Macaca fascicularis: one gene and its partners. The protein of the gene in region 3 purifies or fractionates together with the protein of the main gene of each other region. This does not show direct contact. Links are inferred from orthologs where the notes say so. Each region holds a gene or a part of one and is shown on either strand. Other genes may lie near its edges. The genes, in order: CHM, CHML and RABGGTA.

What was found.
Region 1: the proteins of RABGGTA (region 3) and CHM purify together in Homo sapiens (co-immunoprecipitation; 4 studies listed by BioGRID and IntAct, counting the BioPlex papers as one, with this or other methods). This does not show direct contact. The link is inferred for Macaca fascicularis from reciprocal best matches to the Homo sapiens genes RABGGTA and CHM.
Region 2: the proteins of RABGGTA (region 3) and CHML purify together in Homo sapiens (co-immunoprecipitation; 3 studies listed by BioGRID and IntAct, counting the BioPlex papers as one, with this or other methods). This does not show direct contact. The link is inferred for Macaca fascicularis from reciprocal best matches to the Homo sapiens genes RABGGTA and CHML.

What each region holds. Positions count from the first base shown.
Region 1 is NC_088395.1:92,472,281-92,475,747, forward strand, and holds part of CHM (rab proteins geranylgeranyltransferase component A 1), read right to left. Parts: intron 845-3,467; coding exon 670-844; coding exon of another isoform or gene 653-669; 3' UTR 1-652. UniProt on the Homo sapiens protein: Substrate-binding subunit of the Rab geranylgeranyltransferase (GGTase) complex.
Region 2 is NC_088375.1:7,536,759-7,541,008, reverse strand, and holds the start of CHML (rab proteins geranylgeranyltransferase component A 2), read right to left. Parts: upstream 2,898-4,250; 5' UTR 2,832-2,897; coding exon of another isoform or gene 2,801-2,831; coding exon 827-2,800; 3' UTR 1-826. UniProt on the Homo sapiens protein: Substrate-binding subunit (component A) of the Rab geranylgeranyltransferase (GGTase) complex. Binds unprenylated Rab proteins and presents the substrate peptide to the catalytic component B.
Region 3 is NC_088381.1:92,086,080-92,090,432, reverse strand, and holds the start of RABGGTA (geranylgeranyl transferase type-2 subunit alpha), read left to right. Parts: upstream 1-1,527; 5' UTR 1,528-1,582; exon of another isoform or gene 1,583-1,820; 5' UTR 1,821-1,955; coding exon 1,956-1,958; intron 1,959-2,073; exon of another isoform or gene 2,074-2,124; coding exon 2,125-2,235; intron 2,236-2,613; coding exon 2,614-2,792; intron 2,793-2,929; coding exon 2,930-3,117; intron 3,118-3,376; coding exon 3,377-3,580; intron 3,581-3,917; coding exon 3,918-4,001; intron 4,002-4,089; coding exon 4,090-4,172; intron 4,173-4,260; coding exon 4,261-4,353. UniProt on the Homo sapiens protein: Catalyzes the transfer of a geranylgeranyl moiety from geranylgeranyl diphosphate to both cysteines of Rab proteins with the C-terminal sequence -XXCC, -XCXC and -CCXX, such as RAB1A, RAB3A, RAB5A and RAB7A.

The DNA of each region.
Region 1 (3,467 bases), on a different chromosome or scaffold from region 3:
CCTTTCCCAATATGTAAATAATTTACAAACAAATATCACTACTGATACTAAAAAACACTACTGACTTGTTCTTAACAATGTCTAAACACCTTTGTATTAGCATTTTCAATGCTTCTCAACATAGAAAGCAAAACAAAACAAAACAAACCTGTATTCTAAATACAGGCTTCTATCTAGATCATGATACTTTAGTTTTTCTATATGTTTTTATCATTATGTTATGATGCTCTTGTCCATAAAGAAAATATAATTCAAATAACCAAAGAAAATATGTGAGCTGGTTCTGAAAATGTGGCTTTCAAACAAAGATCCATAGTGGTAAGCAAAATTGTCCTAAGACCACGGAATTATTAACAATGCATAGGATCACTTTCATATCCACAGTTACATTCCTGAGAATCAATTGATTTATAATTTTCATCTGCTAGTCACACAAGTTTGGTATTCAAAATGAGCAAGTCAATGTGCTTTGTAAGTGTTGTGTGTTCTTGTAACGTCCTCTATAAGGAAAATCCCCTTTTGGATTTCTATTACCTATTTTGCCTTATAATTGCTGTTGCTTTCTAACATTTTTCAAACAGTCCTTCTATCAAGTAGACTCTGAGACCAGTAGAAATTTCCAAAGTTGGGTATCCAGTTCGGTGTATATCCATTATTCAGAGGACTCCTCTAGGTTTCCAAGGTTTGTGCTTTCCTTGAAAGTCTCTGAGTTAGCCTCTGGTATGGCACTGGATTCTGAAGCCTCTGGCTGTAAACCGTCTCCATCAAGGACAATGTCTTCAGGATTTGGTGGAGGGGGACAGAAATCTTCACTGGGGCAGATTTCCTGGAAAAGTGTTTCAGCCTGGCCAAGGAAGAAAAGATAAATCATTTTTGGAAATCGGTTTAAAATCTGTGTGCATTTCTGGCATTAACTAAAAACAATTAAGTGTTATCCTTAAAATTTTCCTTAAGCAGGTTATAGTACTTTATCAGAATACATGAACTTCTATAAGTCTGTTTTCAGAATTCTGTGACTTCTCCCTTTAATTCTATACATGTATTCAGGTCAACACTTCAAGGACGGTAGTATCTCATCAGGTTCATTATCAAGTGTTCAGATTGTTGAGAACTGAAACACATTCATTCTACATATCGAAAGAAATACAATTGCCTTAATATTGCTTATATGATATCTCATAGAGACTTGATATGGTTTGGTTCTGAGTCCCCCCCCCAAATCTCATCTCAAATTATTATCCCCACATGTTAGGGGGCGATTAGATTATGGGGGTGACTGTTCCCATGTTGTTCTTGTGATAGTGAATTCTCACAAGATCTGATGGTTTAAAAGTATTTAGCAGTTCCCCCTTTTCTCTTTCTCCTGCCAGCAAGTAAGATGTGCCTTGCTTCCCCTTCACCCTCTGACATGATTATAACTCTCCTGAGGCCTTCCCAGCCATGTGATCTTGTGAGTTAATTAAACCTTTTTTGTTTACAAATTACCTAGTCTCAGGTAGTATCTTTACGGCAGTGTAAGAGACACTAACACAGAATTGGTACCAGGAGTGGGGTACTGCTAAAAGATAACCTGAAAATGTGGAAGTGACTTTGGAATTGTGTAACAGGCAGAAGTTAGAATCGTTTGGAGGGCTCAGAAGAAGAAAGGTAAATGTGGGAAAATTTGGAACTTTCTAGAGACTTGTTGAATGGTTTTGGCCAAAATGCTGATAGTGATATGGACAATGATGTCCAGGCTGAGGTGGCCTCAGATGGAGATGAGGAACTTACTGGGAACTGGAGCAAAGGTGACTCTTGCTATGCTTTAGCGAAGAGACTAGTGGCATTTTGTCCCCACCCTAGAGATCTGTGAAACTTTGAAGTTAAGAAAGATGATTTAGGATATGTGGCAGAAGAAATTTCTAAGCAGCAAAGCATTCAAGAGGTGACCGGGCTGCTTCTGAAAGCACTCAGTCATGTGTGTTCACAAAGAGATGGTCTGATATTGGAACTTACGTTTAAAAGGGAAGCAGAGCATGAAGGTTTGGAAAATTTGCAGCCTGACCACGTGGGAGAAAATAAAAACCCATTTTCTGGGGAGGAATTCATGCTGGCTACAGCAATTTGCATAAGCAATGATGAGCTAAATGTCAATAGACAAGACAATGGGGAAAATGTCTCCAGGGCATGTCAGAGATCTTCCCTAGGAGGGAAAAACGGTTTTGTGGGCTGGGTGGGCCCCACTGCTCTGTGCAGCCCTGGAACATGATAGCCTACATCCCAGCTGCTCCAGCTCCAGCCATGGCTAAAAGGAATAAAGGTACAGCTTGAGCTGTTGCTTCAGAGGGTGCAAGCCCCAAGTGTTGCCAGCTTCCATGTGATGTTGGGCCTGAGGGTGCACAAAAGACAAGAGCTGAAGTTTGGGAGCCTCTGCAGAGATTTCAGAGGATGTTAGGAAACGCCTAGATGGCCAGGCAGAAGTCTGCTGCAGGGGTAGAGCCCTCATGGAGAACTTCTGCTAGGGCAGTGCTGAAGGGAAATGTGGGCTTGGAGCCCCCACAAAGAGTCACCACTAGGGAACTGTTTAGTGGAGCTGTAAGAAGATGGCCACTGTCCTCTAGACCCCAGAATGGTAGATCCACTGACAGCTTGCCCCATGCACCTGGAAAAGTCACAGGCACTTAATGCCAGCCTGTGAAAGCAGGCACAGTGCCTATGCCCTGCAGAGCCACAGGGTTGGAACTGCCCAAGGCTGTGGGCATCTAGCCCTTGTATCAGCATGGCCTGGATGTGAGACTTGGAGTCAAAGGAGATTTTGGAGCTTTAAGATTTAATGACTGCCTGGCCGGGTTTTGGACTTGCATGGGGCCTATGGCCCCCTTGTTTTGTCCAATTTCTCCCATTTGGAATGGGGACATTTACCCAATGCCTATACTCCATTGTATCTTGGAAGTAACTAACTTGCTTTTGATTTTACAGGTTCATAGGGGGAAGGGACTTGACTTGTCTCAGATGAGACTTTGGACATAGACTTTTGAGTTAATGCTGGAATGAGTTTTAAGACTTTGGAGGGCTGTTGGGAAGGGATGATTGGTTTTGAAATGTGAAAAGGACATGAGACTTGGGGAGGGTCAGGGGCAGAATGATATGGTTTGGCTCTGTGTCCCCACCCGAATCTCATTTGCAATTGTAATCCACAAGTATTACGGAGGGACTGGTGGGAGGTGAATGGATTATGGGGGCAGTTTTCCCCATGCTGTTCTCGTGATAGTGACTTCTCACAAGATCTGATGGTTTAAAAGTGTTTGGCAGTTCCCTCTTCGCTTTCTCTCTCCTGCCACCATGTAAGACATGCCTTGCTTCCCCTTTGCCTTCCACCATGATTTTACATTTCCTTAGGCCTCCCCAGCTATGAGGAACTGTCAGTCAATTAAACCTCTTTTGTTTATAAATTACACAGTCTCAGATAGTATCTTTATAGCAGTGTG
Region 2 (4,250 bases), on a different chromosome or scaffold from region 3:
TAAGTTACTTGTTGGAAGCTCTTTAAGTGCCAAAGCAGGGCTCTGCAGAAATTTTCTGAAGTATTAAATGAGAATAAATCTTATCCTTCAAATTTTCTTTGCAATCAACCTCCCCAAAATGAGTTTTTCAACTACTAATTGAACTCCAATTCTTTTTGTAAATTAGAACACTGTGGTGGCGTCATTGCCTCATCAGTTACAAGAGTGAAGTGGGTATTATAAACTTCAGACCTTCACAATGAATAAAGCATCATGCAAAGCTAATCTTTTAACGATTATAGACAAACGAATTTTATTATCATATTGGCATTTGTATTAGTTGCTATTCCTACCACCATGTCTAAACATTTATATTATATGCAAAAGATCCACATAATTTACCATTTGTGTGTGTTTCACTATTCGAACAGGCCGCAGCAACTATAATAGCTGTGAAAGTAATTAAAATATTACTTGGGTATTACTAATTGTTCTGTAGACAAAGATAAAATCTGAAGATCATTAGCAAATACAACATTACCTTTAAGCTGAGTTGTTAATATGGAACCCTTACATACATACCCAATACTAAAATACAGCTAACTCTGTTTTAAGATTATGGGTCATGTAGCCCATTCTAAACAAAATGTTCAATAATCAATAAATCACTCATTGATAGGTTAACAAAGATATTCAATGCTGAATGTCTGAGAGTTAAAGACAACATCTGCATAGCATTCAACATATATAACCACTTCTAATTACTCATATGGGAAACTGTCCTTTAAATGAGAATATTCTGATGCCATGAAGGAGGTCCAAAACAGCATTTCCAGATTGCTCTTTTCTAATTTTGAAGGTGCTTCTCTGGGCTTTCTTGGTTTTTGCCTTCCTCAGAGGACTCTAGTGTGGCCACTATTACATTATTGGTTCCAGAAGACTCTGGCTGCTTATCATCGCCATCAAAGATAATGTCTTCTGGATTTGGAGGTGGAGGGCAGAATTCTTCAGTTGGAAAGATCTCCTGGAAAAGTGTTTCAGCTTGCTTGACGGCATGCTCATTTCCCAGGCCACAGTCAGGCCCAGAGCAGACATAAACATTGGAAGGCAAGCCATTATATGAGCTTCTGCTGATTCCCGAGGAATCTCTCATATTAAAATAAAGAGCCCACAAGAGTCTTGGCTTTGTAAGTTCTTCCTTGTTTATTTCTGTTTCAGTATATGGAGTGAATAATTTCTTCACCACTGATTCTAAGTCTTCTCTTGCTGTTTTAGAAGATGAACATGTCAAATGTACCAGATAGGTGTCCTTCATGCATGTCATGGTTGAAGAACATAATTCAGTGACCCGTACAGCACAAGCTCCTGGCTCTGCTGGAGGAACTATCAGAATGGAAGTCTGCTGATCTGAATCTGTCTTTAGTATAGACTGATCTGTAATGAGTACTGCCCTAGAGATCTGCTTATACTGCACATTTGAGCATGTTTCCTCAGAAAGGTAACTGTCTTCCACAATAAAATATTTAGCATTTATTCTTTGACCAAAGTGATCTATAATTGCTTTACATCGTCCAGATTCTTTGTCGACTACAAAGCATTGTACTTTATGACGAAGACAATAGATTCCACCAAAAACTGCACACATCCTACAGAAACATTGGGGAATTTCTCCTTGGCCATACAAGGGAAATAAAAAGGGAGTGTTGCCAAACCGTCCGAGACACTGAAGGAAGTTTTTAATTGCGTTAAGGCCATCTATTGTAGTGCAAGATGATTCTGATGTCATTGCAATTGAGTGCAGTACAAAATGTTGAAGGTTGGGAGTTAGTTTTTTAGTTTTTAAGTATTCTGAAAATGAACACTGCCTGAAAGCTTGGTATTCATCAGGATGTTGTTCATACTCTAAACAAAATGTGAGAAATTTCATTAGCATCCTCTTTTCAACCATGGTGAGTTCCTTGCTATTGAAGACATCTGCTCTGGAACAAGGCACTTGTTCTACCTTTCCTTCCCGAAATGCAAGAATCCTAGTGACATTTTTGAATTCTACATAACGACTAACATCTGATTTGATTAAAAGATCAATTAGCAATCCTTGAGAATATAGCAGTTTTGATACCAAATCAATATTAAACCTCCTCCCTTCTTTAACTATTTGAAGGTAAGTAATCCTATTTCTAATTGGTTGATTGGCATTATCTTCTACTGTAGATTTGCTTTCATCTTTATTTCCATCTTTATCTGAAACTGTGTGCATACAAGTTTTATCTCCACAATACTTTTCCTTCTCCACTGATTCCTCTACATCAGTTACTTCTAGTGAAATCTCTCTATCACTTTTCTGAGTGTGTTTGGCAGACATTTCATCGCTATTAAAATTTGATGACTGGCTGTCTTCAGGCAAGCCTGCGGAATCCAGAACTTCAGTGAAGGTACTAGACACCCCTGAAGAAGGATTTTTCTGCAGAGCACCAACCTCTTCAACATTGTCCTCCATATCCTGACTGGCATAACAAAAAGCTTCTGTGTGTTGGATAGTTTCATCCTTCTTGCGAAGAGAGATGGCTTCTTCTGTTTCATGGATCAGGTCCTGCCATTCAACAGTACTTTCTTCCCCAATGTCATTGTTTTGCTGATGCTCCTTCAACCAGGTTAGCAATCCTGAAAAGCTGAAACTAGCCCAGTTGCCTCCATAGTAACTTCTTGAATCAATATGCAGAACTCTCTGACCAATTCTTGAACATGCAGCTGCAAGGATGGATTCGGGCAAACCTGTCCCTATTATAACCACATCGAACTCTGTGGGAAGACTGTCCGCCATTCTAGGAAGTAAAAGTGTCTGGTGACAGTTGCTGATGAAAGAAATGAGGTGTGATTATGCTGTAATAAAATCTGTCCTTCTGATGTTCCAGTTTATCCCAGAAGCAATGAAGTTGCAGGTCCTAGCTGTTTTAACAGTTACCCTTTTAAAATATATTTTTTTCCTTATAAGTCAGTAGCATAAAAACATGAGCAAGTACATCTAATCACATCTGAGAATACTAAAATGGATGTGTGGTTTCATTTCTGTATTTCATCTTAGCAGTAAATGTCAAAATGCATCATATATGCATTTGTGACTGGAACTCTTCTCTGAAAGAAGAAAATTCAAGAAAGAATACATTGTAAACAATATAAGAGAAAAATAATTTCATGCAACAATGACAATCCATTGGAGTATGACTTCTTATTTGGACATAAACCTCCACTAAAGCATGTCTTAAATGCTTTCTCACATATTTTCTAATTTCTTGAAAATGGACAATAGAGATATAACAGCCCTCCCAAGAATCAGGCAACATAGTAATAGAGAATGAACATAATGTTCCACAAAAATAAAGAAGAAATAACATAATACAATTCTCTAACTTTAGCTTTTAAGAAAACTATCATGTGAATAAATCTATACACAGCTGTGAGCTTAGACTAAAAGGAACGTATGGCTCCATTGTTTATAGAAACAGATTATACATTAGGTACATACTGCCATGATTAAAAATATTTCTGTGGCCATTACAGTGTGTGTGTGATTCCCGAATAGCTGAATATAAGACCTTTTCATGCCACAACCACCTTAGGATCTCATGATAGCAACATGAGACTATTTCTACTCAATTACTAGTAAGATTATAATAAAAGGATTAATTCAGTAAAACAACTGGCCATTTAAAAATATTTAGGCTCATAACAGAATAGGCCTGAGGAGGAAAACCTATATATTAAAAATATGTATATGAATGTACACATGTATATAAGTGTAAGTAAAAAAGGAAAAAAAGTATGTAAGTAAAAAAGGAAAACTCCTGGTTTCAAATTAAAATATCTTAACATAAATAATGCCTACTTATTTAGGCTTGTCTAAATAAGGCTTGTCTCTGCAACCCTGAATCTCTATCCCAAGCAAAAGGTCTATGTAAACATCCTCTGCCAAGACTAATGTTGTTTGTTCTTATTTTTGAAGGGTAAGTAAAGAAAAAAAAAAGGCTCTCCTGTTAACTTTGAGCATAATGCTGGTTACACTCCATGTGCAGAAGACATCTGTGTGATGCCACGTGTGGCCAGAGGCAGAACGGCCAAGGTACTGAAGAGCATACTCACCGGAAAGTCTTTAGGCTAAAGTATTACATACACCTTACTGCTAAACTTTGTAACATTCATCACTGCACTGGTTTGAGCTCTGGTTTTCGCTACTGTTAAACCTACTGAAATATAAATCAGTACAAGCTAGACCT
Region 3 (4,353 bases):
CACATGTACATGTGGAACCCTCACTAGCCACCATGAACCTCATGAAGGTTCCACCAGAAAACCTTCCTTACAGTAGGCACAGGGAAAAAATCACAGTCTTTGAAAGTACATATGTAGGTCTATCAAATCAGACGGGCATTTTAGAGAACTTCCTCGAGGTGCCAATTGAGTTAAATTTTTTTTCTTTGTTCTGTGGAGTTCAAAAAGTTAAATCTTAAACAGGATTTACTGCAGCAAAGGAGGAGTGTAGAGAAAGGAGAGTCAAGGAGAGGGAACAGGCTAACACATTTAGGAAACTTCAAGTATTTCTGTAGGCTGTCATGAAGGGTTTTTGGCAGGGTCAGGCAGGACATACAGCCAGAGAGTAGGCAGAGCCCAAATGCCAGTAGGTCTGATGTGCTAAGCTGAGAGATTACAATTCTATCCTGAAAAAGAGCCACTCAGCACTTTCAGGCAGAGATAGGACATCAAATCTGCATTTTAGAAAAATTGATTCAGCAGCACAGAGGATGGACTGATAACAAGGGATGAGGTGGAGAACATTGAAAAGACTTTCAACAATCTGGATAAGAAATTCGGAGTTTGAACTTCTAGTGGCAGTGGGAATAGAGTATTTAAGCGAGTTTAAGAAGTGAGGAGGAAATAGTGCCACTCACTACAATAGAAAACGTAAAGGCCAATGTTTAGAGAGGATGGATGAGAGAAAATTTATACCTTTTGGCTTTTGGAGTTTGAGGTGTCTCTGGGACACCAGGTGATATCCAATAGGTGTTTGAATATGTATGTGATGTATATTATTTATTGTTATTTAAGCTTGCAAGACATCTGGGTTGGAGATATAAATTTGGGTGTCATCAATTTACAGGTAGTAATTAAAACAATGAGTGTGAATGAACTCACCCAGGGAAAGTGTAATGCCAGATTTGTGGGCCAAAACAGCTCTGAGGAGCTCCAACTCGAAGCAGTTGAACGCTTAAACATTCTCCCAGGAACAGTGTGTGAAGTGAAAAAGCAGTGAGGAAAGGACCCTTTGGAGATCACCAACATTTAGGGGTGGAGGTGAACAGATGAGAAGAGAGAGGCAGAGATGCAGGAGGAGAAGCCAGGATGGGGGTGTCAAGTATAAAGAAGTGGGTCAAATGCTTCAGAGGTTAGAGAAAATGACAGGCAACTCCACCTGTTAGATTTGACATATAGAAGGGTGTCGGTGTGGCCAGGGTGAGGTCAGTGGAGTAGTGAAGGTGCGGGTTTCTGGCTGTTGGAGAAACCTCTTCCACTAACTACACTACATTTTGAGTTGCCAACTGGCATGGTCCTCCCCACTATTTCACACGCACGGTACAGTCGCGCGTGCGCACTCGTACACACTAGGTGGCTAACAGGTACGAGGCGTTTCCAGACAGCGAGCGCATAGCCCCCGCGCACGCGCCTCCGAGCCGGCCTCCTCCGTCGCAAGTCCCTCCCCAAGCCTGCAGAGGGCGCTGCGTTTCGGTGAGCCAGGACGTGGCGCCGCTCTAGCCAGCGCCTGGGCTCTGTGGCGGGCGCCGCAGCTCCGCATCCCCCGCGCCTCCTCCCAGCGCAGGTGGGTCCGCCCGCGGGGGGCGGGGGTGCCCGGGAGCCGTGGGACGGGCGGGGAGCGGCAACCTTTGGTGCGCAGAGTGGTCCCTAACGCCCAGGTGCCCCGGCTCGGGCTCTGGCCCGGGCGAATCGGGCTGTAGGAAGGGCCATACGGATGGAAGTTCTAGTACGGGTGTTCGCCTCTTGCTGAATGTGCAAAGCCTGTCCCAGGACCTCTTTACACCCTAGGGGTCTCTGCCCAGGCACGCTTGCTGCTTCCGGGAAACCGCTGTGGGCGGTGCTAGTAGGGGGCGGGGCTACGTGATTGACACCTCTCTCCTCAGACTTCGAGGGCTACCACTGGACCCTTCCCCTGTCTTGAACCCTGAGCCGGCACCATGGTGAGAACCCTGAGCCCAGCCCTTCATCTCCGCACGCCCGCGCCCTCACCCGCAGTGGTCGTGCACTTGGTTGCCCCGTATGAACCTAGGGCTTCACAGTGTGGGGCTTTTGCAGGTCGGCTCCTGCAAGGCAACCTGCACTCTTCCAACCCGTTCATCCTTATAGCACGGACGCCTGAAGGTGAAGACGTCAGAAGAGCAGGCGGAGGCCAAAAGGCTAGAACGAGAGCAGAAGCTGAAGCTATACCAGTCAGCCACCCAGGCCGTCTTCCAGAAGGTGGGGCCCTCAGAGGTAGCCCCGACCCCAAGTAGCTCTCTTAGTATAGTATGGAGGCCAAGAGCTGGTCCCTAAAGTCAGACTGCCTAGATCCAGTTCTGGGTTCTCTCACTTATAACTGTATGACTTTGGACAAGTTGCTGGATCTCTTTGGGCCTCAGTTTGCACATCTGTAAAATGGGACTAATAATTGCACCTACTGCATAAGGCCGTTGTGAAGATTAAATGAGAGAATACCTGTAAGGCCATAAAGCATGGTTCATAGTATCTGTTGTATAATGTGGGATTCACAGAATATTGGGTGGTTTTGAGTTTACGTTATTTAGTCCTGTGGTGGGAAAGTGATATGATCTCTGACCCTGCCACCTATCTTCTCAGCGCCAGGCTGGTGAGCTGGATGAGTCAGTGCTGGAACTGACAAGTCAGATTCTGGGAGCCAACCCTGATTTTGCCACCCTCTGGAACTGCCGACGAGAGGTGCTGCAGCAGCTGGAGACTCAGAAGTGCGTAGGGATTCAGGATCTCAGAAGACTGCCCTGGCCCTGCGCCTACACTGCGTGGGTCCAGGGGTGGAGGAGGAATGGGGCAGCCAGTGGCATAGATGGAGGACAGTAGGGGGCTGGGTGCAGAAAGTGAGGGATGAGCTGAGGTTGAGTGTAGGAGAGCCCTGACCCCCCTTCCCTTCGGGGTACAGGTCTCCTGAAGAGTTGGCTGCTCTGGTGAAGGCAGAACTGGGCTTCCTGGAGAGCTGCTTGCGGGTGAACCCCAAGTCTTATGGCACCTGGCACCACCGATGCTGGCTGCTAGGCCGCCTGCCTGAACCCAACTGGGCCCGAGAGCTGGAGCTCTGTGCCCGCTTCCTGGAGGTGGATGAGCGGAACTGTACGTGCCTGCAGATTCTGTCCCCACAGCCCTCACCTGCCCACATTCTGGTACTGGGGCCTCAGTAAGGCCCAGAATGGGGAGGGATATCCAGGATGGGTCCACTGAGCTGGTGCTGAAAGGGATGTTGGAGTCAAATGCCTCCTCCGTGGAGTGCACTGAAGTGTTTCTAGGAGTTCTCTGAGGGGACTCTAGGGGTCCCAGCCAGGTAGCTCCTCTTGCCTTGCCTCTAAGATATGCTGTCACCTCTCCCCTCCAGTTCACTGCTGGGACTATCGGCGGTTTGTGGCCACACAGGCAGCCGTGCCCCCTGCAGAAGAGCTAGCCTTCACTGACAGCCTCATCACCCGAAACTTCTCCAACTACTCGTCCTGGCATTACCGCTCCTGTCTCTTGCCCCAGCTGCACCCCCAGCCGGATTCTGGACCACAGGGGCGCCTCCCTGAGGATGTGCTGCTCAAAGGTAAGCAGGGTGAGGGGTCCTCCTTCCTACAGAAGGGAGGACTCTGCAGTGCCACCCTTCCAGTCCCCATGCCTGACCCTGTTCCTGAACCTGTCTCAGGTTTATTGAGCACCTACTTCATGCCTGGCTCCAGGGGTGCCTAAGAATCAGTCCCTGACTGCAGGGAGCTCAAGTGTCTGATGGGGAAGATAAAACTGACATACATAGCCCCTGTGCAAGGACAGCATATAAGTGACACTGGGGGCTGGAAGTACTCCAAGGAGAGGGTAGGGTGTTGGAGTGGCCAGGAGCCCACCAGTGTCCTGACCACAGCACCATGCCTCCCGGAAACCTACAGAGCTGGAGTTGGTGCAGAATGCCTTCTTCACTGACCCCAATGACCAGAGTGCCTGGTTTTATCACCGTTGGCTCCTAGGCCGAGGTAAGCATTGAGGAAAGGGGCTGGGTGTTTAGGGCTTAGTAGGAATGGGAGAGGGTTTAAGGAAATCTGACACTGTGTCTCCCTGCAGCTGACCCCCAGGATGCACTGCGCTGCCTGCATGTGAGCCGGGACGAGGCCTGTCTGACCATCTCCTTCTCTCGGCCCCTCCTAGTAAGTCCTACAGCTTTTGTCAAGAGCACTGTGGGATTGTGGGCCTGGTGCTGATGGGGCTGAAGTCTGTCTTTGTGCTTTGTGCCAGGTGGGCTCCAGGACGGAGATCTTGCTGCTCATGGTTGATGATTCTCCCCTGATTGTAGAGTGGAGGACCCCAGATGGCAGGAACCGGCCCAGC